Linked DNA regions of Callithrix jacchus. The protein of the gene in region 5 interacts with the protein of the main gene of each other region in a pairwise test. Links are inferred from orthologs where the notes say so. Each region holds a gene or a part of one and is shown on either strand. Other genes may lie near its edges. The genes, in order: DTX3, SIAH1, tripartite motif-containing protein 5, RNF32, UBE2K, RNF138 and TRAIP.

Region 1 (4,375 bases), on a different chromosome or scaffold from region 5:
GACACAGAGAGATGCTCCTGGCTCTGTTGGGTTGTCAGATCCCTTCCTATTGTGCCTGCCTGCCCCTAAGCCACCACCTCCACAGAATTTACGTCTGCCAAATGTCACCATAGTATTTATGTTCACCAAGGAAATAATATGTAATTTCTTTCTCTCATATCTGATGTGTGTTTTTTTTCCTAGCTCATATCTGATTTTTATGTGTACCTTAGGATCACAGGGATGGAAAAGCTGGGCCTCACCAGGACCTCCTAGCTCCAGGGCACCGAGTAGGAGGGCACAGAGGAAGACAACAAGACTGTCTCACTTCTAACAAGCACATACCCTCACCCAGTTTTCCTAGGTCAGAGGCTGGGGAAGCCAAAGGATAAGGGCAGGACATGGTCTTCTTACCCCTTGGACACCGGGCGGGAAGACGTACTGGATGACGATGGTGCCGTACTTCTCGTAGCTGGGCAGTAGGAGGGTGGCGTCCTTAGAGACCAGCATCCGCCCATTCTGGGGCTGGTTGCCCACCAGCTGCCCATAGAAGCGGCCACACATGGGGCAGGCTTTTTTCACCTGCAGAGCCCGGGTGATGCAGCCCTCGCAGAATGAATGCCGGCACTTCTCCAATGTCTTGGCGTTCTGGATCTCCCCCAGACAGATGGGGCAGGTGCTCTCCTGCTCTTCTGCCTCCTCCCGAAGGCGAGGAGGAAGAGGTGGGGGCAGTGGGGGAGGAGGAGGGGGGAGCCCCCGAGCCCCTGGGGGCAGAAGTGGGGCTGCTCGGAGAGGGGGTGGGCCTGGGCGGTGCATCTCAGGGTGCTCCCCTCCACCCCCCAGAGCCAGGCAGCCCATCAGCTCCCCCTGCCTCTGAGCTTTCTTCAGCTCTTTCTCTGCCTCTTTTAGCAGCCCCTTGAGAGCCTTCCGGGCTAGGTAGAGCCCATTGGGAGGGGCCGGGGGAGGGCCCTGTGGGGAAAGCTGGAGAACATAGATGTCAGAAGTCTCGCCATCTATAAGGATGGACACACGGTGCTCCTCCCGAAGCCGGGCCAGCCGGGCTGGGGTCTCCTTGCTCAGGAAGTCCCACACAGGCTTGGAGACAGTCACTTTGTTCTTGCAGGTGCCTCCACAGGCTGCCATTCTGGACAGGACGAACGACACTGCCCCCAGGGTGAAAGGGACTCAGGGTGGGGGGTCCCCATTTGACAAGTATCAGTGCCTCCTACTTCAGATTCTTTCCAAACCCCCTATTACCTGTTTCTCAAAGCCTAATCCCCAACCCTTCCCCCAAATTCATATTCTATCTCCCTTTATCTTCCAAAGCCCACTGAAGACCAAGCAAGTTTCCAGAACTGTATTATCATCTAAACCAAGCATCAGTCTTGTTTCTCCTGTCATTTCTCCCAGATCGTAGAGACAATTTGCCCCTCCCACCTCTGAGGGAAAAATGGGCTCTTTAAAGGGGAGGGAGATTTTTTGCCCCTCCTTTTTGCTTACTTTGATCCCGAAGAGCTTAGAATTGGCATGCAGGCTCACTCTTTTTTCCCTGCTCCCTACTTGTAGGTCGTGTGACCTGGCAGGGCGGAAAAAAGGAAGGAAAGTGAGAAACCCCTTCTCCCAAATCCCCTGGCCCCCAACCTAGCAGCCCATGGAACAGAGACAGAAACCTGGGCATAGGTTACTGGGAATGGGATTACTTGGAACACGGAATGAAGGAAACCAGTTTCAGGGTGAACATTGAGGATCCCTTGTTGGGGAGGTACCTGGAAAGCCCATGGAAGATGATGGCAGCAGAAATCCTTCTATTTCCACTCAGCTGACCAGGCCTGGGAGTGGGGGAAGGGTAAAAAGTTATGATGGCAAATGTTACCATTTCCCTCAGCCAACCCAGAAATAAAAACTCCCCTTCCATTTCCTCTATCCTCTGCAGAATTCCATCCTCAGCTTCTCCCCAGGTTGCTCAAGAAGGAACTTCAACATGCTAACCTTCCTCCTTTCTTCCCCAGCTCTGAGGCCCCCAAGAAAGCCTAGGGCACACATAAGAGAAGCCAGGAAAGAAAAAGCCCACACAGGTGGAGGTCTTCCTGACGCCTCCCTCAGATCACATGAACTGGAGTATTTCCTGTGTTCCCAATTCCTTGCGCTGCTCCATATTCCCAAATAATTCAGCCCCTATTGCCAGGGAGCCTTCCTTGAGAGCTAACTCAGTCCCTTCCGCTGAAGTCTGTTAAAGAGGTGAACGAAGTGGCAGCAGCCCCCACAATAACAAAGTTCTCATTGTCACCTTTTAAACCCAGCACAGGCAGGGCTGTCTGTCAGCTCCCTAGTCTGGTATTTAGGGAGGGGCGGGGCTCACACAAGGGCTCAGCTGGAGAGGCCTGATGTTTCCCCAGAGTCTGGTCGCATTGGGCTACAGTGCTGTCCCCACAACACCTCCCAATGCAGCTCAAACAGAAAGAGGGGCCATAAGTGTGACCTCCATTTATTGACTGATCCAAAAAAGGAGCAGCTGTCCCTTCATGTTTCTATCATCATCCCCAAAGGCCAGAGGCACCTTGAGATTCATAAAGTGAAAATGGAACACTAGATCTTCAGCCCATACAGTCTACCCGCGATGCAACACCTCCCGTCTCATCACAGGGGACCCAGGACCTAGGTGTCCTAGCTCCAAGTCCTGCTGGCATAGAAAAGGGAGGCGGGGCCACAGTTTAGGGTGGGTCTGTGATTCCTCCGTGGCAACCCAGGCCGGACAAGGGACCAGTCTCCCTCCAGACCCAGGCCGGAGGGAGGGACAGCCGGGAAGGGCAAGGGTCCCTGGGGGCATCCACTGAGGCCGCTCCAGCCCTCCCCCCAAGGCCTCCTCCAACACCCGACCCGGAACCAACTCCCCACATCTCTCACTCGCCGAAGCCCCCGGATCCCCACCCCCGGGTGGGGGTGCAGGTCGGCCCGATCGCAGCTCTCAGAATCCCCGAATAGAGGCCAAGGCTGGAGGGTGCTAGAAAGATGATCGCCCGGGCCCGGAGCTGGGGGCCCAGAGCCGCGTACGGGGAGGGGTGGGGGAAGAGGGGGTGCCGGGGGAGCGGGGGGCGTGTGAGGGGTGCTAGCGGGGCCTGGGGGGCGCGCGGTGGGTGTGGGGGGCGCCGGGCTCACCTACCTCTCGTCAGCGCCGCCATTGCCGGTCACATGACTGAGGCTGTTGCTGGGATGACGGTCCGGGCCTTAGCAACAAGGGGGGGGAGACCCCGAGAAGGTGGGGGGTTGCAGGGGGTGCAGGCTGATGGAAAGGGAAGGAGGGAGGACAGCACCCCCTTTCCCCTCACAGGTGATAATCACCGTTCCCTTTGACCCCCTTCTATCCGCAAGCCCCTGCTCTTCCTCCCCAGAACAAAAATGGAGGAGCTGTCCCACTCTTTGGAGGGAGGGGGTGGCGTCACGGAACTGAGGGTAGGAGGTTAAATCCCTGGAGACGCCACCCTTCTCGCTCCCGCCTCCCAGCAGAGCACTCTCCCTTTTCTTTCCCAGCCAGCTGCGTAGCAGCTCCCGGGAGCTGGTGGTGGATGGGTGGGTGAAGTGTTGGTGGGTATATGGGGATTCGGAGGGGGGAGGGCGGCAATTTTTTGAATCCTTGTGGTAGAAGGGCCTTTGAGGAACAATGTGGGTTGGGGAGAGTCATAGTAAAAAGAAAAGCATTGGTTCTAAAAAATAAACAAATCCCGGTACTAAACTATTTCAATCCCCTCCCTCATCTCCTGCCTCTTTCTAGATTGTTACCTCCTGTGACCCCCACAACGTGCTCTCAGATGGTCATTGGTAAGTGCCTCCGATTTTCTCTTTCCACAAACGGATATGGAGGCTGGTGCAGAATGGGAAGTGAATACATTTTTTAAAAAGTGGCTTGGGGTGGTGGTTGTGTCAAGTGTATGGTTCAAATAGAGTTAAAAACTCTCAAAGAAAAAAAGCTCTGCTCTGCTTCCCACTTCAAGCAGTCTCCGCCCCCAATCCAACTCACTTCCCTGAGGCCAGCCACATCAAGCCAGGTTTTTCCACCAGCCAAAAGACTTTCTCAGCCAAGACAGGAATCTCCCAAACTGGCAACAACCTCTATTCATCCACCCCTTTTTCATTCCCCCTCTAGACTGGAGGGCTGGTCACTTTCTTCACTTTCCCAGGACCCTGCTGCAGCTGTACTCTTCCTTCCCTCCAGGAAGAGGACAGCTTTCCCAGGAAGTCGGTGGGGGGTGGAGTACTGAATTCCTTTTCTTTTAGCAGGTGGGCTGAGAGGCCCACTCACCTTTGCCAAAATGGAGTGTTAGCCAAGCCCAGAACTCTGCGAAGAGGAAGGGTCCCATCACCCTACTCTTCCCTGGCCCTCACTACCGCTGACCTGCCA
Region 2 (4,611 bases), on a different chromosome or scaffold from region 5:
ATCTTAACTGAAAATTTAAATATTCTGGAATATACCACCCATGATACACATAAATTACCCACCTCAATCTAGACAAAAGCCACATAAGGCTGGAAACAGTCCAGTTTTACAGCTGAACAAGTGGTGGAGCCTGGGTTTGAATCCAAGTGTAGATGACTGTAGAATGCTTTTGTTTTTCTGACTTAATTAAGTGGAGGGGCCTGTCCATAGATCAGTGGTTTTCAGACTGTGCTGCAAGGCTTTGTACACATCTTTTGGAGTTTGGCTAACAGTGAAATATCTTTTGCTTGAGAAATAGTCATCTTTTTGTTGTATACATTTTGGTTATTTTGTGATTCTGCTTGGAAGAGTTTCTCCATCTAAAATATTTGAAGTTTTCTGCTCTAGGGAAACTTAAGATCTGTTGAATGAATAAATGTTAGAAAATAAAAATACAGACTGGGCATAGTGGCTCACGCCTGTAGGCCAGCACTTTGGAAGGCATGACAGGTGGATAGTGTCAGGCCAGGAGTTTGAGACCAGCCTGGGCAACATGGGGAATCCCTGTCTTTACCAAAAATATAAAGAAAATTAGCCGAAGACGGTGGTGCCTAGTGATTGGGGAGATTCAGGTGGGAGGGGATTGCTTGAGCCCAAAAGACCGAGGCTGCAGTGAGTGGAGATTGTGCCACTGCACTCAGACCTGGGCAAGAGTGAGACCCTGTCTCAAAAACAACAACAACAAAACAAAAAACTTGTCTGTGGGGTAGACTGTATTTATTTTCAATCATATTTCTTTTCCTAATACTCTTTTGTGTAGCCTATATTGTAAAATGAGGTTGAGGTGATTGAACACACTGTTAATAGAGTGAGGAAGTGGTTAGAGTTAAAATTTCTTGCTGAAAGTGGGTAATCTGCAATTCCCTACATTGGGTTGATTCCTCTCTGCCAGCTCTTGCTGCATTTAGAGGCTGCCCTAAGCATGATGTAATGACAGGTTAAACCTCTGCACGCACTAGCTGATGCAATGCAAATCTGAGGCCCAGGACTTTATTGGGGCAAGGGTAATGCTTGTTTAAAAACAAAACAAGCTACTCTGCGTTTAATGAGGCCATTTAAGATGGCTTTCCCAGAGTGGGAAGAGAGTATACTCTCTTAGGAGGTTTAAGTAGGAGTTTAATGTGGCAGAAGTATGCTTACTACTTTTCCTGCAAAGTGTTTTCGCAGCGGGGAAGGGGAATTTAAAATACATTACCGATAGGAGAAGTGAAGTGAGCTAGAATTGAGGAAATTAGTAGTTGATGCCAGTAAATAGCTGTTGAATGAATTAGGGAGAATGTTTTCACTCCAAAATTTTAGAGTTCGGATAAACGTAGAGCGGAGCGCCAGTGTGGCCACGCATTTCAAGATACGCTGTAGCTCTTAGATTGAAACCGTAAGAAACTCCTGATATGAGACTGTTCTGACACACCGAAAACGGCATGGTTCCACCTAACTTTAAACTGGTGGAAATGCTGAGGAAGGCTCGATGTCGCTGGGGTGCGGTGGTATGCGGTCCATGGCGGGGTGGGGTCCATGGCGGGGTGGCACGGGGTCAGAGCTGCGGGGTCCCGCGGCCCCGCCCTGGGTTGTGGGGCGGGGCTTGCGGGCACGGCCCCACCTCTGCGCGAGCGAGACGGGCACCGCCCTGCACGCTGCGCGCCCTGGACTGGCCCTTGGCTCTCCTGGTTGGAGCGGGCGTTCCCGGCGCAGGCCCATCCCCAGCTGGCCGAGGCTCCAAATGGCTCTCCCGGCAGGCGGGCTCCTGCAGTAGCCCCTGAGCTGGCTCAGGGAGCGTACTTCCTTCTCAGCCAGCGGGTCACCCCTCCACCAGAGCCGAGCAGGAGCCTACCCAGTGAATCTGGAGAAGACAAACTTGGGAGACAGACGAAGGCTTAGGGCATGGTGGAGGACAGCGCAGCTGTGGCTCCCATTTTCGGAGATGCAGCCGAATTTGAGCTCACGGGGAGGTGTGGTTGCCTCCTGGGGATGGAAAGGCTTTCTTTCTCCACCTCTGTAACTGGTGCTTCTGAGAAGTGAAACGATATTTGGATCCTGACCTCAGACGCCAATTTGGGTCTTTTGTGTTTAGGAGCAGAAAGTGCCCAGGAGGGTCCTGTACCTTTACTTCTTGGAAAAGGCAGTGAGCTGCCTGAGTTCTCATGACGGGAAAGCCTATTCCACCTTCTCTTTACTCCTGGAGGGGAGTCTTGTTCACATGTTTACCGGCGACTAGGACAAGGAAGAGAAAAGGTATTGACATTAACAGGATGGGTTGCTGAGGCTGTGAAACTTGAACGCTGTTAGTCAGTGGAACCTGCCTGGCTTACGGAATGGCTGCAGCAGAATCGAGCTGTTTCCTAGGTTAGCAGTCATGTTTCATTTGGGCTGTTGTGCTTTTTTTCTGTTTAAATCAAACTTCAGGTTACGTCATGACTTCTGCAGGGCTGTCCTTGGTTCCTACTGCAGGGCGGCTGTGTGGTTGGGATTCCTTTTCTGTTTCAAGATGGAGCTGGGTAGCACCTTTGGAGCTTGGAGAGGCTTTAGCAGTTGCTGTCCTGTATACCTCCATTTACAAGAAATCCTGTTCCCATTTCGGTTTTCACACTTTGAGTAAGAGTTAAAATCTGCTTTATTACAGTGTTTGGAAAATGATAAAGATATATTGTAATGTGAGCCTGAACTGTTGATGATAAATGTATAACTACTGCTAGGTCAAGAAATTGAAAAATAATGTTTTGATTGGTCTGTAGCTGTGTTGTGTTAAATATAAACTGAGTTTACTGCCCTTGGATGTGATTCTCTGGTTTGGTTTGGTAATTTGAAAGGTATTGGTTGCCTAGACTGTTTTGTGCCCAAGGAAACACTTTCTAATTGTTATGCTGTTAATTCAGTAAGCAGCATAAACTGGACCATGCAGTAGGCATACAGCATACAGCCAGGATGTTTTGGCAATGCTGAGCCCACTGTTTTACAAGTGACATAAAATGTATGGATCATCGTATGTACAAAGAATCCACTCAGGGAAACCGGATTACAGGAGAGTTCCTTTACAGTCCTTTTGTCAGGGTACAGAACACCTGGGTTACACAGGGCTTCAGATGAGAGTTGATTCATGATCTGAGTCTATATGATGAGACACATTATGATGGAATTGTCACTTTTGTTGCCTCTTGAACTTTAAAATATATCTTTAGTGATGTGGAATTAATCTTTATTTTTCCTTCACCCTCAGCCTTCATTTAAGGTATCAGTTGGTAACCACCTGAGTAATCTAGAACCCAAGTTGCATTTACTTGGTCATATTGGTAACTAACATTGTTTCTCAAAAGTTTCTTGCAACAGAATAATGACTATAATTGAGATAAAACATTAACTTTAAGGCTTTAACTTTGTAAGAATATGGCTTAGTATAGTTACTAGGAGTGTATTCTTAGGACATCGACCGATCTATTTTTTCACCCCCAAGACAAATAGTGGCCTCCTATATCCCAGCCCAGGGAGCTCTTTGGGATGAGTTACTTGTTTTATCTTTGACTCAGCCTGACTAGTTACATTGTCGATCATTTCTTCCAGATGACATTTATCTGTCAAATAATGTTGATTAGTCTGCTGATGAATGTTTAAACAACGCTGGAGAACCCTAGGCTAAGGGGTTCTACACCTGTTGACTCCATCCCCCACTCCCAGTGTGGTGTGTCTCTGCCGTGCTATCTGTATTCTTCCCCTGTTCAGTTTCTCCCTGACTCTCCTTCTTTGTTCATTATGTCTGATTTATATTGTGGATTGCAAATAGAGAAAGATATGCTTTCTCTACGACACCAAAAAGTTTTATTTGAGATGGCTCTCCATTTCTCCCACGTCTCCCTTCACTTTTGCTGTGTTTTTATTTATTTTTATATTTTTGCTACCTTCACTAGAGAGTACATCCCCTCACTCTTGAGGTGGGCACTGATCAGTAGGAAAGAAGATCAATACCTGGCTGATGATAATTTGGGGGGCAGATTGATAGATAAAGGGGATGGCAGCAGATCTTTCCCCTTGTGATCCCTCCCCTCATTCCTAAATTACACCTCTAGAGTAGGTAACTGCTCACCATTAAGAAGAGTTAATGGAAGGCATTTGAACTACACTCATCCCGTGGTATCCTCGGAAGATTAGTTCCAGGATCCCCTTCCCCATACCAAAACCTGAGGATGTTCAAGTCTCTGATAGAACATGTTATCATATTTGTATATAACCTGTGCATATTCTCCTGTATAATTTATCTCTGGATTACTTACACTTAATACAATGTAAATAATAGGTAAATAGTTGTTATATATGTTTTATTTTAAAAATTTTGTATTATTTTAAAATTTTTCTGAATATTTTCAATCCATGGCTGGTAAATAGTTATATATGTTTTATTTTAAAAATTTTGTATTATTTTAAAATTTTTCTGAATGTTTTCAATCCATGGCTGGTGAAGTCCTCAGATGCAGATTCTGTGGTTACAGAGTGCCGATTTTACACAGGATCTTACCTGTAACTCCTTGTGCCTATCAACAGCTGACTCAGAATTGGAATGAAATAGAGTAAGGGAATCTCAGA
Region 3 (4,353 bases), on a different chromosome or scaffold from region 5:
CAGTCTTCAGCTTACACCCTTCTGGAATGGTGCCAGCTGATCCATCAAGGGCAGAGTTTACAAAATATCTTTAGCAATGATCTTGAGAGCAGATCAGGAAGGGTCGAAATCTTGTAGCCTCCAGCTGCATGACTCATAAGCCATGGTGTCTAATCTCATGGCTAGTTTCTTGGTCTGGTCCCCAGGCAAGAAGGAAGTATATCTTAAGAAGGGGCTGTTATCATATCTGTTTTAGAGTATAAACTGTAAACCAGGCTTCTCCCAAAGTTGGTTCAGCCTATACTCAAGGGATGGGCAAGGACAGCTTGAGGGCTGGAAAGAAAATGGAGTTGTTTGGATTGGATCTCTTCCACTGTCTCAGTCACAATTTTGCAATGACAGTTTCAAAAGCTGTCCATCACTCCTTTGAAAATACCTTGTTCATCTGTGGTTCATTCACAACCTAACTAAGGTTTGTTGCTTTCACCTGTGAGGTTATTTTCTACAACGTTCAAAAGCCAAAAATCTTAACTGCTTGGCATGGCTGAAGTCAAGTAACAAGAGATTTAAAAGGATTTTCTTAAAGAGCTCTCAGCCTAATTATAAGTGGATATTCAAGTTACAGGTATATTTAAAAGGCCTTTTTCTCTTCTTGGATCTTGTTTTTCTGGAAAAAGTTTCTTTTTCTTCTCAGTTGACTGAATTATTTTTCTCCTGAATTATAGGTATATTTAAAAGGCCTTTTTCTCTTCTTGGATCTTGTTTTTCTGGAAAAAGGTTCTTTTTCTTCTCAGTTGACTGAATTATTTTTCTCCTGAATTATAGGTATATTTAAAAGGCCTTTTTCTCTTCTTGGATCTTGTTTTTCTGGAAAAAGGTTCTTCTTCTTGTCAGTTGACTGAATTATTTTTCTCCTTTTTTTTGGTCTTACCATGCTTAATGCATGCATGAGAGGCCCTAAAATAACTCCTGGTAGCATGGGACTGCTTGGGAAAAAACAGAGACGGCACCACAGACACCGTTTTGGGAAAAAAAAAATCTCTGTCTTCCTCATGAACCCCCCCAAATTTAACAGCAGATAGGCTCTCAAAATCAAAGGCTGTGTTCTGTTAGGCATTGTGTTATCTACCATTTTAAGTTTTGGGGGTATCAAATTACTTCACATTATGAGAGAGCCTTGGTGTGCAACAACTAGGTAGGAAATACACTGCAAGGGATGTCTAACAGTAGTTATAAGTCGGAGAAGCATACTCTCGGCCACCTAAAAAATATGGAAACATCCCCACCCCCCACTAAGAAATAAGACTCCCATAGTGGGGTGGGCTAATTACAAAATAAGCCAATTGGCTTTGTGTTGCCTTGTAATGAAACACACAGTAAAAGCAGAACACCGTCTTCTCCCATAGTATCTGCCTCCTTTCGGGACCCAAAATCCAGTATAATGTGGCACTCTTAATTTTAGGGACCTGACTTTGCCTTCAGCTGTGCCTGCTTTTTAGGCCCTAAATATGCATGCTACCTGGTCCTAGTCCTCCAAGGGCTCTATCCTAAAGCCAGTAATCCAATTAAAAAACTGGCAAATAAAAAAATCATACAAGTGCTGAATCTTCTGTCTGTATTCCTATATATGTGTTGTTTACAATGTCTATAAAAAGAGCTCTAATTAATTGGCTTAAGGAAAATTAAGCACATACATCAAATTTTGTTTGGTTCATGTAATTTTAAGAAATAAAAATTGTCTTAAGGATTATTGGTAAAATGCAAGTGCTGTCAAAATGCAAACAGGTGGTCTAAATCATACAACTTAGATACTAGGTTTGCTAAATGTTCCAAGGTTATGTACTGCCGGCTTTATAAATAGTCCTAGGACACATGGAGCTAGATGCTGAAAAGTCAGACTTTATCTGTGCTTCCGTCTGGGTCCTAGGAACCACATCTGGTACCTAATTAAAATTGCTTACAAACCAGGTTTCTTAACGAAAAATAAAAGTTGCTAAAAGTTAACAGTGCAACATGTATTTGAGATCACTAAACAGTTTTATGTGCAAGGCATATAAAAACAGTAAAATATATTTTTTAGTGAAAGATTGGAAGAAAGCATAGAAATGTAAATTTTGCCCTGGGATGAGGGATGTCAAATTTGATAAGATAGAGCTAGAAATTTAAGCAAGTTATAGAAAGATTGTAAAAAATAATCTTGCAAAAAAATGCGTAAGCATTAACTAAACTCAAAATAGCATTATATGGTCTTTTCATAAATTGAGGACCGAAATAAAAGCACAGCAGGGAGTTCTGAAGAGACTAATTTGCCTGTTAGTAAAAGGGTTATAAAAGGTTTGTAAAGATTTCACCTCATGCTCAAATTGGTTAAGATTAGATGAAACGAACTATAGGATTTCATTTAAACAAATTGGGGCTAACTTTAATAAATCAATGCAAGGGTAAAATTTGGCTTTAAACAGGATTATCATGTCATAGTGTAGGTTAATGAAAGGCTTTTGCCTTTTGAGTCATTTGGAAAAAAATTAATTTATATCAATTTTATAACATCAAGTGTTTTAAACCTGTAACATTTAACAGATGTACCAAAATCAAACTTCAAGCTTCAAAATTGTCTTTTCTAATGCCTGGCTTTTTGGATGGTTCAGAGGGCCCCTGAAACATTCATAATGGAAGTAAACAGGATTACTTAATAGAGAGTCAGCCCGGAAAAATAACCAGCCTTCCAGGAAACAAAGTCTTTCACTTTAAAGCTCTCCCTTCTTTCAAAGCTGCCCGCAGCACTGTTCCCATTAGTCAACCCTGGCAGCAGAAAGTCTGTGAACTGTCTTTTCCCCACCCCAGAACAGCTTTTAGGTAAGTTAAACTCACCAAAGCAAATTCAGTTTTGTCTGAAAGACTTCCTACTTTTGCCCTCCACAAACCACTCAATACACCTTCAGACACCAGTACAGAAGTGGTGATTCCGGGGAGAAGAGTGAAGGCAGGCCAGGGAAGAAAGATATGGTTAGGATTCACTCACCAATCCAGGGGCCTGATCTGCTCAAAGTAGTCTTTCTAAGAGGAGCTGCAGGAAATTCTTGCTCACATCCTGGGCAGAAAAGTGAAAGACAAAATATTGGGCCAATGGCATTTCGCCACGTAATGCCTGGTGAATCCCACCCTCTGAATGAGTCAGCCTGCTGTGTAGTTGTGCCATTCACAGGAGGAGCCATGGAAAATAGAGGCATCCCCACTCTATGTCCCTTTTCTCTTGAGTCTCAGGATCTTATTATCACTCCACTTCTTTTTGACATAGTCTCAGATTAACCCAACCAAATATTAAAAATTAGAAAATGTGCCCTTTACTGAAATTCTTCCAATGTGCTCCTCTTGTTCCTGATCTCACGTCTGGGTTCTGCTTCTGGGTGATAGATATGCCACAAAGAGAAGGAAGAGCAAGGTTAATGATTTTTAGAGAATTGCAGTAGGTTTCTGGTCTGGACGTAAAAACCTCATAGGACCTATGAACAGAAAAGGAGCTACAGATAAGACAGATGTCATATTATGAAGGCCCCCAAACCCAGAGAGGGGACAGAATGCTAGAAATTTATCTGGAGAGCCATGAAGAAATACCACATTATTACGCTGACTGCAGTTCAACCACTAACTTTTCAAAGAACTCTCCAACTTCCCCGTTTGTTTTGTTTGTTTGTTGTTTGTTTTGAGATGGAGTCTCACTCTGTCACCCAGGCTGGAGTGCAATGGCACAATCTCTGCTTACTGCAACCTCTGCCTCTCGGGTTCAAGCCATTCTCCTGCCTCAGCCTCCTGAGTAGCTGGGATTACAAACACCCACCACCACACCTGGCTAACTTTTGTATTTTTAGTAGAGACGGGGTTTTACCATGTTGGTCAGGATGGTCTCAAACTCTTGACCTCCTGATCTGCCTGCCAGCCTCCCAAAGTGCTGGGATTATAGGCGTGAGCCACCGCACCTGCCCCCCCACCCCCTGTTATTTTTTTAATTGCATTTTAGGTTTTGGGGTACATGTGCAGAACATGCAAGACATTTGCATAGGTACACACATGGCAGTGTGTTTTGCTGCCTTCCTCCCCTCACCCACATTTGACATTTCTCCCCAGGCTATCCCTCCCCAGCTCCCCACCCCCCCGCTGTCCCTCCCCTCTTCCCCCCAATAGACCCCAGTGTTTGGTACTCCCTTCCCTGTGTCCATGTGTTCTCATTTTTCATCACCCACCTATGAGTGAGAATATGCAGTATTTCATTTTCTGTTCTTGTGTCAGTTTGCTGAGAATCATGTTCTCCAGATTCATCCATGTCCCTACAAAGGAAACAAACTCATCATTTTTGATTGCTGCATAATATTCCAT
Region 4 (3,924 bases), on a different chromosome or scaffold from region 5:
CATGTATATTCTTGTAAAAAAAATCATTTTTGGAACAGGTTTCATGAGGAAGGTGGTAACATCTGATTAAATTTCCTCACTTTATAAACTAAATTTGAGTAAGTCTCATAGTTCAGAGAGAAAAGAACACTATAATTAGAATACTAACGTTGGAAGTAAAAATATTGTTTATAAGTAATTACTTATAACATTTTAAGTGAGATGTTTTTCCTCAGGCATGTCTTCAGGCTTTTGAAAAGTTCACAAATAAGAAAACCTGTCCTCTCTGTAGAAAGAACCAGTATCAAACCCGAGTGATACATGACGGGGCCCGCCTGTTCAGAATAAAGTGTGCAACCAGGTGAGGATGCCAGGCCCACGTGGCGCTAAGCAGACACACAGAGATCAAGCTGTGACAACTAATTTTTTAAAATACTGGCATTGTCTCTCTCTTCTTGGCCACCATAATTTCCCCAGGGCCTTGTACAGCACAGGCTTATAACAACTACTGAAGTGTTGGTTGACATAGGATCATCATAAATTAGTCATTTTCAAATATCTGTGTTGTAGAATCCAAGCCTGCTGGAGAGGACACGTCGTTAGAAAGTGGTACCAAAACCTGAGGAAAACAGTACCTCCCACAGATGCCAAGTTAAGAAAAAAATTCTTTGAAAAAAAGGTAGGTAGAGATCATTAATTCTCCAGATACGGCCTCTGTGCGGGTGATTCACTTAGGGTCAGGACTGCTAACAGAGCTGGTAAAACTTTGAGACTTACTTCACTTTGAGGGCTTTTTAAAAATGGTCGAGATGCTGCTTAAACCCCGTTAATTTAAATCCGCTTTCCAATCTAGATGGTAAAATACCTTTAGATTTTCTTTTCATAAAGAAAACTCATAAAATTAGGTTAAATCTAAGCAACTTCCATTTGGCCATTTTGTGCCAATTGTTTAAATAAACTTATCTCTTCAGACACAAGACTGAAACCAGCTTAATTTTTCCAGTCTCCTGGGTTATACATAAATGAAGACATCTGCTGTACCTCTCACAGTAATGAAAATGGAAGCCACCTATAAAAATAAAGCCCCCATCCATATGCTACCATTGTATTGAGTACCTCGTGGGGTCATCAAAATGAGCTTTAGTGCTAACTTCCATGTCTGCCCTTCCTCCTCACCACTATTTATGTTCTGTTTCAACAGTTCCCATTCCTTGTCCCCATACAAAATGGACAGTTCTACCCATCAGCCTGTAGCTTCAGGCAAACAGCGGCATCTCCAAGGCTGCCATAGGAGAGCCATCACTTCTTCCTGGCAGTGTTGGCCTGAGAAGAGCCATGTCATTTATAACAGCCTAGCACACCATGGGTGCTGGAAATTCTGTGTTTCTTATCAGTATTAACTCATTTCCTAGAGTATGGAAGTGAGTTACTGTGTGTTTGGCCAGTTTGTTCTTCCAGAGAGCCATGTCTCATCTTCAGAGTTCGCTCATCTCGGGTGTTGATTCTCAGTTTGGTAAAGGACCACCGTGCATGATTGCTTCATCCTGCCTTTACATTCTTTCCAGTTTCTTATCTTCAGTCGCTGACAGTCAGTCTTGTTCTCTGAGCAACTCTTGGTAATTTCTAATGTTATAATATGTTGTTTCTTTGATCAGAAGTTTGTTGTCACCTCTTATAAAATTTTAATTACAGATTTGATAGTCATTTTACCTTATGTATATAAATACTTTTCATGTGCCCACATCATCTTATAATAACTTTTGAAGCGAAAGGCCCACTGAGAGTGTAGGTAGTCTCGGCCCACTGAGAACTGGCCCAGATTGCTGGAAACAAGCAAAGTGACTGTTACCATGTGCCTTGTGCTAGCTGTAGAGTAGCCAGTGAAGGGTACATTTCAGGCTCAGTGCTCAGGTGTTCAGACACCACAGCCTTCAGCTTCATGGAAAAAGGAAAAGAAAAATAAGAAAAAGCAAGTGACCAGGAGCAATCAGGGCTGGGAGACCTGATCAGGCAGGCTCCTATTTCTAATTCAGTCTGTTCTGTAGACAAGGCAGATCCATAGCTCTGTCCCACCCGACATCTGGTCCGCAGCTCTGGGGCCATCCCACCTCCCCAAAAGTCCTGTTTTAATCCCTGGTTCATCTCGTCTGCTGCCCCCTCATCCTGAGCCCTCCTCACTCTGCACACCCTCCTCTGACCCCTGCGTCTGCTCTTCTGAGCACACTCACACTCCGCCTGCACGTCCTGCTGGCGTTCCTACTGGTTCCCTCTGCCTTGCTTAAAATGTGCCGGGTTTCCAAAGCCTAGTTTAAGCTTTCTTCCAATTTCTTTGGTCTTCTCTAAACCTTTATTGTATGTTTAAACAATGCCATTCAAGAGATCAAGAAGAAGAGAAGTATGAATGATATTCTAGCTTATATATTACAAATGTAATTTTTCCTTTGTGGCTTTTGAAGATGATCTCAGAAGATTTAAATAGCAAGTTCACTTAAGTTGAATATCTATGAGGAAACTGAGAAGCAAAACTGATTTTTTATTTTTGCAGGGGTGATGGGGAGATATATGTTGAGAGCAAATTGTACACATTATTTTTAACTTTAATTTAGAGACAGGGTTTCATTATATTGCCCAGGCTGGTCTCAAATTCCTGGGCTCAAGTGAACCTCCCACATCAGCCTCCCAGTTAGCTGGGATTACAGGCAAGAGCCACAGGCTAGGGCAGTGGCTTTCAAACTTTTCCTCAGCCACAATAAGAAATATCTTCTATACTGTGTTAACAGAAAAACCAAACTCGGTGAGGTATTTTAAAGAAGTTTATTCTGAGCTGATATGAGTGACTGCAGGTCAGGAAACCCCCTCTCAGGGAGTCCTGAGAAGGTGCACCCTGGGCAGTCGGATTACAGTTTGCTTTTACACATTATAGGGAGGTGGGAGTTACTGGCAAAGACAGAAATCACTACATGGAAGTGATACATTGGTTTGGTCAGAAAAGCATGATATATGGAAGCAGGAGCTTACAGACTGTAGGTGGATTCAGAGACTTGTAGTTGGTTAAAGGAATAGAGTTCTACCTAAATACTGGAGTCAGCAGAAGGGAACGTCTAAGTTGAGGGTGCTGTGTGGCAAGACTGATGGCCTGCGGCATGACTGTCCCTTGCTGGGCATCGACTTCGCCTTGTTTATACTTTGGTTTCTTACTGCCACAGTCTGTAGTCAGCCTTATCACCTCTTAACACGAATGCTGGTCACTTGAGCTTAAACTCCAGCAAGGAGCAGGCATAATGAAGGGGCTCTCATCTGTCTTCTCATCGTGGCTGGGAATTCCATTGCTAAGGTTTTCCTAGGGCCCCTTTGGCCAAGAGGGGGCTGGTCCTGTTGCTGGGGACCTTAGGATTTTATTTTTAGCTTATAGCAATGACCCACCACTTGTATATATTTAACAGAAACAAAATTTCACAAAGCAAGATCTACTTTTACCGCCGGCACCACACTGTGATTTTTATTCCATTTCATTTTCCAAGTGCTGGGCCTACTACATCAATGTTATGAGCCACCGATGGGTGGCAGATGGCAGCATGGCCGCAAATATCAATAACTGCCACCTTAAATATAATACGAGTGACTGTGTCATCTGACCGTTCAAGTCTCCTGTGCAGGGGGCAGGGGGGACAGGAGATGTACACACACATGCACACACATTCAGATCACAGTGAGATTTGTTACATGAATAGGCATCCTACAACTGCCTTAACTTCTAATTGTTCAATTGGGAAATCCAGGCATTCCCAGCTCTCTGCTAGTTCCCTAAATCTTCTCTACAGTTCCTTCATATCTTGTTCACTCTTGCTTACTTATCCCGTTAGGCCACAAACACTTGGGATCTGTAAAGTCAAATCTCAAGTTAAATAAACGAAGCCTGAGCTCACTCTACGGTGGTGTGTTAGC
Region 5 (4,586 bases):
CCTTTTTTGAGTAAATCACGTTCATATGACACATAATTCAAAAAATATCTACTCCCCATGCCCCAGAGACCCAATTCCCCTACACAGAAAGCAGTCAATTTTTCCAATTTCTCATGAAACCTTTTACCTGCACAGGCAAATACACATATTCCCCTCCATTTGAAACAAATGGTGGCCTCTCCCACACTATTCTGTATCTTGCTTTTCACATTTATCTTGTTGGCTGTATTTTAATTAACACACTCTAAGAATGGCCACCACAATCCAACAAGCGTCAGCTATCTCTACAAAGACACTTAAAAGGCCACCCCAAAAAGTCCTTAAATCAACCAGTGTTCTTACTAAACACAAGCACACAAGCATATGAAATAAACTTTGGTAAAGTGCAGATTTACCAAAAAAGTGACATGATGAAATAGTTATTTGATCAGCCATTCAAAAGACTGGATTTACACCCTTAAAAAGGAAACACATGGACTGTACTACAAGTCCTTCAATGAGTTGAAAATAACAATCTACTTATAGATCTGGGACACTAAAATGTCAAAAAATAATGGTGAAAATAAGCTATTTATTGGTTATATTTATTCCAAGATTAAGTGATGTGAACTTTTCCTAAATGTTCTTTGCAACTTATTTTCCTAGAAGAAGTTTCTTTCCATATTTCTATAGGTACTGTTCTCAAAAAAAAAAAAAGTTTGTCGTCCCTATTTTCTTCTTCTGAAACGCTTATGATACTTATTTGAAGTAAACCATCATCCCTTATGTATAATGAGCAGTGTTATTTTAACAATATGCATTACTAGAGAGCAATACAAGTATTTCTGGTAATCTTCAAGTTAAGTACTAAGAATACCACGGTGAAGTCAGCTCATAAAAAGCAGAGACCATATAAATTACTAGAGTAGTAACTTACCACTTTTCAGTAATAGAAAATAAAGCATTAAAAGTCTATTAAGTTTCAAGCTTCTACAACCTTATTAAACAAGAAATGTTTTAGGTTGTTGGCAACAATATTAGCTGCTATCTTCCATTAGAAGTATATATGTCAAATATCCTGGAATACATTTTCATATTAAGTTAAAATTGCTGTTTCACTGTTATCAATACAAACACTTATGACTCTGTTTCTGCACTGTACCACAAAATACAAAGTCATCCTTCCATTCAGAGTTTTGGCATATGAACAGAGGTCAGAGTTCATACACATGCTCTGTAAAACTGATCATGACTTACATACTACTACTTTCAAGAAGCCTATTTGTCATTTTTGAATTTTAAACAATTTTTTCTTCATGTCTACTCATCACATACTTAGAATGCTGAATTTCACTAATCACTATCGACATTATCGAAGTACTAACCGTAAAAGAAAAAACACAAAAGCAACGATATATTCAATAATGGTACGTGAATCTTGAAAATAACCATTTTCTGTATTACTTTTTGTTTAATCCTTGTGGGGAAGGCAATCTGGTATTCTTGTTGATTTTTGGTATGAAAAACTGTACTAATACTTATGTAATTCTGAGTCAAATTACTAGAGCATTGTGAATATCTTACTTAAACGTACTAATATATCTAAATTCTGCAGGATTTAAGAGCAACGGGAGGCAATTTTTTTGAAAATCTGCTATATCGTGATAAATCTACTCAATAAAGAGATAAAACAGTGTATTAATCTGGTAAAAGCACACGTTTTTAATAGGTCTACTTTTCAAAAGTAAGAATCAAGTTAACTATGAGGGACATCATAATGAAGTTTCGTGGCACAACACTAGTCACAGAGGTACTGTATTAGGACAGTCTCTCTGATCTGTAACTTGTAAACAATATTTTGAAATAAGCTACTCTTACATTCCATTTTTTTTCTAACTAAAAATATTTAAATGTCTTTAATACACCAAACACCTTGCCTTTGCCCACTCAAAGACTGAGATGTCGATAAAGACGAGGCCTAGGAATTTGGGGGTAAAGTGGAAAAGACATAACGATCTCATTTGGAATTAACTTGCTAACAGAGGTGAAAATTCCCTTATCCCTGCCACCGAATAAGACAGTATTCTATTATTCTCCCCTTGACTCCTAACACCCAACTAAGAAGGACTAACTCTGAATGTCCTTCCTTTTTAATCGATACCTAAGGACTCACCGCTCCTTCCCTAAGAAAAGGACGGTGACGGCCTGACAGGCAATAACCCAGAATATCCTCAAAAGTGTGGGCCTTAGAGCAGCACCGGCTCCTCCGGATACAGTTACCACCTTTCCCCTTCCCCCAACCCACTTCCCGGGTTTTCTCGGGCTCGGCCTGCTCCCTCCCCACCCCAGAGCCACACTTCCAGCTGTGGCCACCGCCTCGGGTTCTCTCGTGAGCTTCCATCCCGCCGAGGAGTTCCCCCCTGTCCATCAGTTCCCCAAACTGTGTTCCACCCCAGACCCCCCGCCCGCCGAGACCGTCCATCCTAGCGCTGTGGGAGGGGAGGGGAAGGCGGCGGAAGGAGGAGGGGAGCACTACTGCTTCCCCACAGGCAGAAGGGCGGCCGCAAGGAGGGCCACCCAGGGACTACCGGGGATATCGGGGTCACGCTGGGAGGACCCTCCCGCCCGGGCAGAGGTGGGGGATGTCCGGGAGTTCATTTCTGACCTCCTCGCTCTTCAGCACCTCCTTGAACTCCCGCTTGATTCGCTGCACCGCGATGTTGGCCATGTCTCCGCCCGCAGCTGATTCGTACCCGCCTCCTCCGCCACCGCTACGACCACCGCCACCGCCGCCACCTCTTCCTCCACCGCCTCCTCCCTCAGCGATTCAGACCCGAGCACACGAACACTGCCACTACCACCCCGGCCACCGCGCTCTCCTCAGTGTGGAATCACCTCCGCGCCCGGCCACCAAAATGGCGCCGGGTCCGCGCATGCGCATGATGCTGACCCGGCCGGGCGGCGCAGCCGCTCCCGTTGTAGCCCCCATTCGCCCGAGCCACGAGCGCGCGTCTCGACTGGGGCTGCGGCCGCTTGACTCCGCCCTGCCGGCGTCTGGAGCCGGGAGGGTGCGCCTTCCAAACTGGCCGGGACCGCCGGTCCTCCCCGGCGCCTCCACTTCTGTTTAAACCCGGGTGCTGTGGTCCGGGCTGCCAACCCCTGGACTCTGACCGAAGGTTCGGGTGCAACCGAACGGTTCCCGAGGCCGCAATCGGCTGGAGCGCCTTCCTGACTCAGCTAGACCCGGAACCCGGTGGCTGAACGCCGGGTGCGGGAAAACGTCTAGTGCAGGAAAACGCTCTCCCGGAACTCGATCCGGCCCATTTTCAGTTGGTGTAGCCCCAGAAAATCCGCTGCAGTCGTTTTTGTTCTGCAACATTTATAGTACCAAGATTATTCCCACCATCTCAGGTAGCACAGATTATTGAATTAAGGCTGGTTATTGTTGAATCAGATCCGGTTTGAGACAGGTATTACGTGGAGAGGCCTGATGATGGATCTAGAAGCCAGATGTTGATCTTTGACCTATTTAGATAATACAGAGCTTGATACACACACACACACACACACACACTCGCGCGCGCGAGCACATACTCCCACTCCTATACACACTCACTCCTGTGCCCATCCCTAGAGTGTAGGATGGCCCCAAGACACACTCTCTCTCTCACTCATTCTTGTGCCCATGTCTGAACTAAAGCATGTGAAAATTCATATAAAAGTGAAAATTGGAGAAATAGAAACAATTATAGTGCTTTTCAGGGCACTGGGGGTGGGGGAGGGGAGCTTTACTTCTGTAAACCTAGGCCTACAAAGGTGCCTGGTGCTAGTAGGCACTCAATAAATATTGAATGAATAAATGAGTACACGTAAGAGTAAAATGTTTTGGCTGCCACGGCGGATCGCTTGAGGTCAGGAGTTCGAGACCAAGACTGGCCAACATGGTAAAACCCCGTCTCTACTAAAAATACAAAAATCAGCCAGACATGGTGGCGGGCGCCTGCAATCCCAGCTACTCTGGAGGCTGAGGCAGGAGAATCGCTTGAACCCCGGGGACAGAGGTTGCAGTGAGCGATATCGGGCCACTGCACTCCAGCCTGGGCGACAGATCTGTCTCAAACAAAACAGAACAAAAAGTGCAAAATACTTTAAGTGGAAAGTCAGTTTGAAAGTGGTTTCTGGTCGGGCACGGTGGCTCAGTGCTGTAATCCCAGCACTTTGGGCGGCCGATGGTGGCAGATCGCTTGAGCCCAGGAGTTGGACACCAGCCTGGGCCCCATGGTGAAGTTCCATCTCTAAAGATAATAATAATTTTTTTTTTTTAGAGTGGTTTCTAAGGCTCATAGTAATAATGATATGGTACTGAGAAACACTTTGAATAGAACATTTTAGAATGAGTAATAAAGATGTTATTTTAGAAGTTTATACTTCATGTACTGCCTTCACCTAGCCAACCAATAAAATATCTTATTTTAAAAATATCACAAACACATGGTCTTAGCAAAAGTAATTATAATTGTGGCACCAAATACGGAAATAGCCAATGGAGGTGAATCAGTGGCGGCATAAGGCAAAAGAGAATTTCTTAAACTCCTGCCCCAGGTACC
Region 6 (3,924 bases), on a different chromosome or scaffold from region 5:
CAATCATAAATGTGTCATCTCTAGAAAATAATGCCAAATATCTGACAGTAAACTGATTTTAAGAAAATATGCATTTATTGAATTATGAGTTGAATAATAAATTCTCTTTTTTTTTTTGTGATGGTGTTTGGCTCTCACCCATGCTGAAGTGCAGTGGGGCAATCTTGGCTCACCACAACCTCCACCTCCCAGTCTCAAGTGATTCTCATGCCTCACCTCCTGAGTAGCTGGGATTACAGGCACCTACCACCACACCCAGCTGATTTTTGTATAATTAGTAGAGACATGGTTTCGCCATGTTGGCCAGGCTGGTCTCAAACTCTTGACCTCAGGTGATCCGCCTGCCTCGGCCTCCCAAAATGCTGGGATTACAGGTGTGAGCCATCGCATCCAGCCAAGTAATAAATTGTTAACTATAACATGAAGTTATAAAACTTATCCTTAATTTTAAAGACTGTATTTGCTATCAATTTTATGCCCCATGAGTTTTGCTTTAAAGGCCTCAATTTGGCAATCTCAAATAATTTGATGACCTACTTCTCTATGGCAAGGAAAAACAATTTGACAATTAGATCAAAAGTGGTTTACAAATCTTTGTGTTTCCAAATACATTTGTCTAGACATAGAAATCTGTCTCACAATGAGAATTTAATAATAATCTAAAACTACTTCTTAAAATTGCTAAAACAATAAAGCACACCTAAATTTTACATATATTTTAATTATTTTGAAATAGGCTAAATAATGCAAATTCTAAAAAATTTTAAAACCATTTAACAAGAATGATGTAATTCCAACAATGGAAGGCAGACAAAAATGTAGATTTTGTTCATATCACTGTGCTTACCTAAACTGGAAAACAAATAGCCATTCTTTATCAGGACTAATTTTAAATAGGGTTTTTGATTAAACTAAAGTTGAATAATATGCAATTTCAGAATTAATTAAGTTTTCACCTAATTAAAAAACTATATCACACACATTTGGAAGTAGAAATTAATCTATTTTGCTTTACGAATTCATTTTTACATTATATAACTTCCCTTACACTCTTAAATATTCTCCTTTGTAACCTGGCTTTGCCTGATAACTAAGCTTCCTCATTTTTAAAAAGGATGTATCTTACATTTTAGATGTGAGAAATCTAAGATTTCTAGCATAGATACAAGCAACTTACACTACATGAGAAATATATCCTCCATATGTTCTACCAATTTCACTTTTCTTGTAGGTACAATTTTCTCTTAAATCTAGACAGTATATTCATGTAAATCATCATTTTGTTAATCTAGGTGCTTGCTGTTCCACTGTTAACTCTCTCTCTAGTACAGAGAGAGAGTTAATAAATAAACTCAATTTTTACCGTTTCTACAAGCTAAAGTTCACCAATATTATTAAAAACCAAAGAACTTGCACTAAATCCATCAAGTAAGACAAAATAGCTTGCCACAAAATTCAAAGTTAGATTCCAAAAAGTTACTTAACTTGAATAGTTAAACGGTACTTTCCTAATCTTGAAGAATTCACTTACCACAAATTCTCCATAATCAAACTGATGTCTTTGATTTAGATGACTAACAAAATTTCTAGTTATCTGGCGAGGATCTCCCCAAGGAAGAGACACACAAATGGGACATGTCTATAAGAAACAGATTGTTTTAAACAAAAAATAAGAAAAACAAAATATAATACAATTGAGAGTATTAAAATAACACAGACGTACATTACCAAAAACACCTATGTGAGAAATTTTTTTTTTTTTAAGATGGGGTTTCACCATGTTGGTCAGGCTGGTCTTGAACTCCTGACCTTAGGTGATCCACCCACCTTGGCCTCCAAAGTGCTTGGATTACAGGCGTGAGCCACCACGCCCAGCCGAGAAGCATTTTTAAAAGCCAAATTCCATTACTAGATAATTTCCCAATCAATTACTTTAAATAAATGACATTAACACAGTAAGAGAGATCTTAGGACATTCTATTCCTTAAATCTCTCTGTTTTTTTAATCCCACCTGTGGTATTTCAGGATATTCCTTAAATCTCTTATTACACAAATGTTTCAACAGAAACAGCACATCTAGCTTTTAATAATACTAACTGTAATGACAGTTATCACTGGCTGCCTGCAACATACCCAATATATTATCTCATTTTGATCTGTACAATAATCATATAATTATTATGAGCTTTATTTCATTTATAAGTAAAATAAAAATGAAGTAAACTGGAAAATTAAATATTAGTTTTTCATTATTTTTAATTTATTTTTTTGAGACAGAGTCTCGCAGGCTGGAATGCAGTGGCAGGATCTCGGCTCACTTCAACCTCCACCTCCCAGGTTCAAGCAATTCTCCTGCCTCAGCCTTCCAAGTAGCTGGTACTACAGGCGCATGCCACCACGCCCAGCTAATCTTTGAATTTTTAGTAGAGGTGGGGTTTCACTATGTTGACCAGGACGGTCTCGATCTCTTGACCTCATGATCCGCCTGCTCAGCCTCCCAAAGTGCTGGGATTCCAGGCGTGAGCCAATGTACCTGGTTTCATTTTTTAAAAATAGAGACAAGGTCTCGCTGTTGTCTAGGCTGGGTCTCAAACTCCTAGGCTCAAGCAATCCTCGCACCTTGGCCTCCCAAAGTGCTGAGATTAAAGGCGTGTGCCACCATACCCAGCCATATCCTTAATTTTAAATGAAATACATCTTAAAAAGTGAATGTAAGGCCGGGCGAGGTGGCTCACGCCTATAATCCCAGCACTTTGGGAGACCAAGGCGGGCAGATCACGAGGTCAAGAGATCGAGACCATCCTGGTCAACATGGTGAAACACTGTCTCTACTAAAAATACAAAAATTAGCTGGGCATAGTGGTGCATGTCTGTAGTCCCAGCTACTCAGGAGGCTAAGGCAGGAGAATTGCTTGAACCCAGGAAGCAGAGGTTGCAGTGAGCCGAGACTGCGCCATTGCAATTGCACTCCAGCCTGGGCAATAAGAGCAAAACTCCGTCTCAAAAAAAAATGTGAATGTCTTACATAACTAAAATCACAGACACACAAACACACACACACACACTTTAGTAACTGAACTCTGGCCAAAGTATGACATATCAAATATTATGCAGAAATGAGTAAGAATTTGGTAATCTAATATAAAAGTAAATAAAATCTTTTTTTTAATATCTTAAATTTTTTTTTTATAAATAAAGACGGGGTTTCACCATGTTGGTCAGGCTGATCTTGAACTCCCGACCTCAGGTGATCCGCCCGCCTTGGCCTCCAGAGTACTTGGATTACAGGCATGAGCCACCACGCCTGGCCAATAAAATCTTAAATATGAGAGAGATTTCCCAGAGACTTCTTTGGCATTGTACTTGTTTATTAAGTATAACTGAACCCATTCTATGTGGTATGTGAGAGTTTAAGGTCATCCTTAAGGGTTACTGAAGCATATTCTTTTTTTTTTTTTTAAATAGACAGGGTCTCACCATGTTGGCCAGGTTGGTCTCAAACTCCTGAGGTCAAGTGATCCCCCAACCTCGGCCGCCCAAAGGGCTGGAATTATAGCTGTGAGCCATTGTACCTGGTCTTGAAGCATATTCTTTCACAACTTTTCCTAGCATATTCAATAAAATAGCTTAGAAATATCTATAGTTCTTATTGATAACATTTCTCTTCCTATTTTTCCTTCCGAAAACAATATTTATATAACAAAATGTTCAGCTGAAAGGGAAATCTCTCCCAGCTCAGTTTCTCCTGTTCCATTCATTTCAAATAACTTACCTGTGAAACGCTTCTAGGATCATTAAATATTGGAATACTGCATTCTGTTCTTTCTCCCTCATTATCAAAAAGCTCTCACCATTTTCTTTTTCTTTTTTTTTTTTTGAGACAGGGTTTCACCATGTTAGCCAGGCTGGTCTCAAACTCCTGA
Region 7 (3,924 bases), on a different chromosome or scaffold from region 5:
GCTCGATCCTGAAAAACACACCCAGCCCACGGCATTTGCAATCTGGAGGCTGATGGGTACATACCCAATGCAGCTCTGCTTTCCTTTGCTGCTGTTGCTAAGGTAACAGCCTAGGCTGCTAGGATGCTTTAGCAGGTGGGTGTGCCCAAGGAAAGGCTCCACAGCAGAGATGAGCATAGTTCCAAGGATGCTGCTGAGAAAGAACAGGTGCTGACAGAGGGTCTCAAGGTCAGGGATTTCCTGGAGAGAGGTTCCTAAAGGGAAAGATCCCACCACGTCATCTGGCCACCAGCAACAGACAGGGAGAAATGTGGCAAGAGCCCCCATGGAAAGTGCAAGTTCATATAGGCTAAGATCTGTGCCCACACCCAGCTGACCTGAGCCCTCCATGGCCTATGCAGATTTGAACCTCAGACATGACATAATTGCACTCCCTGCTACAGTCCTAAGAACTGTACCACTTGCAGGTCCTGGGGTCAAAGGCATGGCGCAAGACCCAGCTCCAAACTTACTGTTCCATGGTCTTCATCTTGCTCCTGAGTTGGCGGGCCTCCTCTCGAGCTTGTTTGGTCTCATCCTGTTGCTGCTCCAAGTACTTCATCTGCTTCTGAAGAGCAAATACACCCATATCCGTTGCTTGGAGGCCCTCAGGAGCCATTGCTAAAGTCACTAGGAAACTCTGCTCCAGAACTTTCTACACCTTATGTTTTGAAAATGCTGATAACCATGTGCTCCCAAACCCCAGGAGGTAAAGCTCTTGGGCCCCACTCTTGCTTGTGCTTCTTCTGCTAAAAGGCTCTAAGCCAGCTGCTTCCTCATCTCCCTGCCTGCTTCCCCTGAAAGGTGTCTTACAGTAGGCACAGCCCATTGCCAGCATTTACAGGCTTGCTGTGGGCTGCCAAGGTCCAGTGGTCTGGGCCTCATGGTGTATGTTGTGCAGGTGGCTGAAGTCCAGAGAACAAACCCAGGCCTCACTATCACCCAGACCCATGGATGGTTGGCAGGAATGGAGAACTAAGGCAGGGGAAGCTGGCCAGGCTGCCTTCAGTCTAAGACCACTTTGTCTCTGACCTGAGAATACCATTAGAGACTCCTGCTCTGCAGCCAGGTGCTAGTTTCTCCCTCCCACAAGCCAGACCATGTGATCCAGCCCAGCCCCTAAGCAGGAACACAGACAATGAATATCCTGGGGCCTTGTCTGTTCACAAGGATGGCTCCCTTTCCCTTTCAAATGGCATCCAGCAAGGACTGCTCCTGCCTACAAGGCCAGAATATCAATCATGGGTTCAGATCAATCGCTTCTCATGCCCCTTGGAGAGCAAGAAGCTCACCAACCCAGGCTGATGCAAAATTCATCTGGGTCTAGAGCTGTTCACTCTGCAGGCTTTGATCTGCCCGGTTAGCTCGGCACAGCTGACTTCAAAGGCCCTTGCTCCTCCCTAGGATGCTGTTTGATCTGGCTCAGGAGAGCAGCCCAGCCAAGGACTGGAGTGCTAATGGAAGCTTCTTCAAGCTGGCCTCATCAGTAGAGTATGAACCACTTTTGGAAACATGGAGCAGCCTCACTGAGGTCTTAGTTGAACATCCCCCCTGTGAGGTACTGGGAGGGCCTTGCCTCTCCAAACTACCTAATACAAAATCCACAAGTACAGCCAATATGGCCCTTTTCTTATGGGATGGATGGGTACAATATGGGAGGGCAAGAGGAAGAAGTGATTTGCTTCTATTTTACAACTGCCCAAACCAAGGTATTGACTGTAGCAGAACTAGAAGATAAGTCTAGAATGGGGAGCCCAGTTCTGGGGCAATCTTTCTTCCCACTAATTCTGTACCCATAAAACCTGAGGACCTACTTTCAGTGTGGAGCACAGCATCTCAGCCTTGTCCAAGGCCTGCTGCAGAGATTCCACAGTAGCATTGCGTTCTTCCAGCATGTCCCGCAGAGAGTCGACAATGAGCTGGGTGTCCCGTTTCTCCTTCTCTGGAGCAGGGGTAGAGGGTGGGGGAAAGGGAAAGTCCTGTCCATTCATCAGCATGAGAACTTGGGCCCTTGGGCTTCAGTGCCTCATCCCTTAGGAAGGTGAGAAACAAGGCTCAGGCCAGAAAGCTGGGTGGCACACTTCTTTCTATGGGATGTGCCAAACCAGAGAAGCTAAGCCAGAGCCTTCATTCAGGGAAAAGTCCACTTTCTGCTGCTTGAACTACTTAGGAAAATATTTTACTGCCCACACCTCACCCACCACAGGTCTAGTTAGTTTATCATGCTAGGATTCAAGCAGCCAAACTCAGCAGCTGAGCCCTCTCCCAAAGATATTCTGTCCCATTAGGTAGACCTCTCCCATCTTGGTTCCTAGGCAAGAAGCTGCACTCAGAGACAAGAGGCTCACCTGGTCTAGGTGAACAGCTTCAGTCACCTCCCTTTCCTGCCAGCCACAAGAGCTAGCAGGACTCTTGGACATACAAAGCAGGGAAAGGCCCTGGCTCTGCCAAATTGTTTGAGACCTTCCTCCTAGGGCCCCCTCTCTCCAGCATCCAAGTCAGGGACTTCCCAGCACTCCTTGTCTCTTGCTAACTTACCTTTCTGGGAAAGCTGGGCTCTGATATTATCCAGTTCATTCTGCAAGGCAATACCCACAATAAGCAACAGGAAAGCATCACAGCTGACCTCCAGGTAGCCTCCTATAAGGCTGTTGGGAGCTCTAGGATTTAACAACGAGACCTTCTAGGCATGAATCCTGCTGTACCTCAAGGCCAAGTTAAGCTAACAATGGAGAGATAAGCACTGCTTTAGCTCTATGTGCCCTTTTGAAAAGTAGGTAAAATGGAGGAAAATAATCTCAGGAGCAAGGCCCCAGGACAGGGAAAACGTAGAATAGTGGAAGGGAAGTAAGGTTGGGCCCCTGTGATCAGTTTCCATAGCACTTCTATTGCTTCCTTGGCCTCATTGCTCTGTGCTAGTCTTGTTCCCTCTGGGCATCAGCTGCCTCACCAGTGACACACAATAGGAATGTCCACTCTGGGTCTTCCTGATTCATAGTCTACTTTCCTCCAAACTCCAAACTGGCTCTGCGGACTACAGACCTTCCAGCCCCAGGATCCAATAGAGGTAGGTGTGCCAGGACAACTTTGTACCCCTGGATGAAACTTCCCATGTGTCTAACTAGCCTCTAACTAGACTGTTGTGAGGATCAAGTGAGCCTCTCAAAGCCCTTGCAAATGTTGCAGAGCCATGCCACAGAATCACTGAGAAGCTATGGCAGAACTGAACCCAGTTCCTATTCAGGAGGCCAGAGAACTCAACATCTCCATGAGCAAGTGAAGTGCATGCTCCATAACAAGGAAAACCAAGGTTATATAGAACTGAAACGTTTGACCAAGGGTACATGGTGGTAGCTAGATGGAATCCAGGCAAACCTTAATCTAGATCACCCATCTAAGGTCAACAGAAGACTCAGAATTTCACATGTGACCAAGAGTATGGCCTAGACCCAGTGGGTAAACAAGTCCCTGCTATCAAACTCTCCACCCAGGACTCTGGAGGCAGGAGCTTCTGGTGGCTGGGCTGGTTAGTATAGGCTGAACAGCTGGGAATGGAAGTGGTGGGTAAGGAGGGGCACGCAGGGGCTGCCTAAGAACAGATACCAGGCCATGGCTGCTGCACCACTACCCATAGTCCCCTGGCTTCTTCCACACTCCAGCAGGGGCTTCCAAGCCCTCGCTCCAAACTAACTAAGATGTTGCTACCTATCTCACAAACTTGGCTTGAAAACTGTAAATAAATCAAACTGCCTTTGCTGCTTTCATCACAGGGAAGACACTACTTAAAACGGGGAGCAGTTACCATGACAATGAACATGCTTTCTGTAAGCACAAAAGCTCCATGTTCCTGAAGCAGTGAGGTTCCAAGGATATCATGACACCCTA

The links.
Region 1: the proteins of UBE2K (region 5) and DTX3 interact in binary tests that used the Homo sapiens proteins (3 or more experiments, as listed by UniProt). The link is inferred for Callithrix jacchus from reciprocal best matches to the Homo sapiens genes UBE2K and DTX3.
Region 2: the proteins of UBE2K (region 5) and SIAH1 interact in binary tests that used the Homo sapiens proteins (3 or more experiments, as listed by UniProt). The link is inferred for Callithrix jacchus from reciprocal best matches to the Homo sapiens genes UBE2K and SIAH1.
Region 3: the proteins of UBE2K (region 5) and tripartite motif-containing protein 5 interact in binary tests that used the Homo sapiens proteins (3 or more experiments, as listed by UniProt). The link is inferred for Callithrix jacchus from reciprocal best matches to the Homo sapiens genes UBE2K and TRIM5.
Region 4: the proteins of UBE2K (region 5) and RNF32 interact in binary tests that used the Homo sapiens proteins (3 or more experiments, as listed by UniProt). The link is inferred for Callithrix jacchus from reciprocal best matches to the Homo sapiens genes UBE2K and RNF32.
Region 6: the proteins of UBE2K (region 5) and RNF138 interact in binary tests that used the Homo sapiens proteins (3 or more experiments, as listed by UniProt). The link is inferred for Callithrix jacchus from reciprocal best matches to the Homo sapiens genes UBE2K and RNF138.
Region 7: the proteins of UBE2K (region 5) and TRAIP interact in binary tests that used the Homo sapiens proteins (3 or more experiments, as listed by UniProt). The link is inferred for Callithrix jacchus from reciprocal best matches to the Homo sapiens genes UBE2K and TRAIP.

The regions. Positions count from the first base shown.
Region 1 is NC_133510.1:62,091,203-62,095,577, forward strand, and holds the start of DTX3 (putative E3 ubiquitin-protein ligase DTX3), read right to left. Parts: upstream 3,167-4,375; 5' UTR 3,140-3,166; intron 2,244-3,139; exon of another isoform or gene 1,969-2,243; intron 1,809-1,968; 5' UTR 1,746-1,808; intron 1,556-1,745; 5' UTR 1,509-1,555; coding exon 1,480-1,508; intron 1,143-1,479; coding exon of another isoform or gene 1,124-1,142; coding exon 394-1,123; intron 1-393. UniProt on the Homo sapiens protein: Regulator of Notch signaling, a signaling pathway involved in cell-cell communications that regulates a broad spectrum of cell-fate determinations.
Region 2 is NC_133521.1:6,077,501-6,082,111, reverse strand, and holds the start of SIAH1 (E3 ubiquitin-protein ligase SIAH1), read left to right. Parts: upstream 1-1,718; 5' UTR 1,719-2,180; coding exon of another isoform or gene 2,181-2,271; 5' UTR 2,272-2,351; coding exon of another isoform or gene 2,352-2,382; 5' UTR 2,383-2,450; coding exon 2,451-2,631; intron 2,632-4,611. UniProt on the Homo sapiens protein: E3 ubiquitin-protein ligase that mediates ubiquitination and subsequent proteasomal degradation of target proteins.
Region 3 is NC_133511.1:71,270,596-71,274,948, forward strand, and holds the start of tripartite motif-containing protein 5, read right to left. Parts: upstream 3,039-4,353; 5' UTR 2,851-3,038; intron 1-2,850.
Region 4 is NC_133512.1:91,573,989-91,577,912, reverse strand, and holds part of RNF32 (RING finger protein 32), read left to right. Parts: exon of another isoform or gene 1-215; coding exon 216-340; exon of another isoform or gene 341-549; coding exon 550-658; exon of another isoform or gene 659-1,180; coding exon of another isoform or gene 1,181-1,270; exon of another isoform or gene 1,271-3,924. UniProt on the Homo sapiens protein: May play a role in sperm formation.
Region 5 is NC_133504.1:154,118,588-154,123,173, forward strand, and holds the start of UBE2K (ubiquitin-conjugating enzyme E2 K), read right to left. Parts: upstream 2,897-4,586; 5' UTR 2,708-2,896; coding exon 2,645-2,707; intron 1-2,644. UniProt on the Homo sapiens protein: Accepts ubiquitin from the E1 complex and catalyzes its covalent attachment to other proteins. In vitro, in the presence or in the absence of BRCA1-BARD1 E3 ubiquitin-protein ligase complex, catalyzes the synthesis of 'Lys-48'-linked polyubiquitin chains.
Region 6 is NC_133514.1:75,214,622-75,218,545, reverse strand, and holds part of RNF138 (E3 ubiquitin-protein ligase RNF138), read right to left. Parts: exon of another isoform or gene 3,886-3,924; intron 1,640-3,885; coding exon 1,532-1,639; intron 1-1,531. UniProt on the Homo sapiens protein: E3 ubiquitin-protein ligase involved in DNA damage response by promoting DNA resection and homologous recombination.
Region 7 is NC_133516.1:32,452,190-32,456,113, forward strand, and holds part of TRAIP (E3 ubiquitin-protein ligase TRAIP), read right to left. Parts: intron 2,618-3,924; coding exon 2,578-2,617; intron 1,982-2,577; coding exon 1,854-1,981; intron 608-1,853; coding exon 513-607; intron 9-512; coding exon 1-8. UniProt on the Homo sapiens protein: E3 ubiquitin ligase required to protect genome stability in response to replication stress.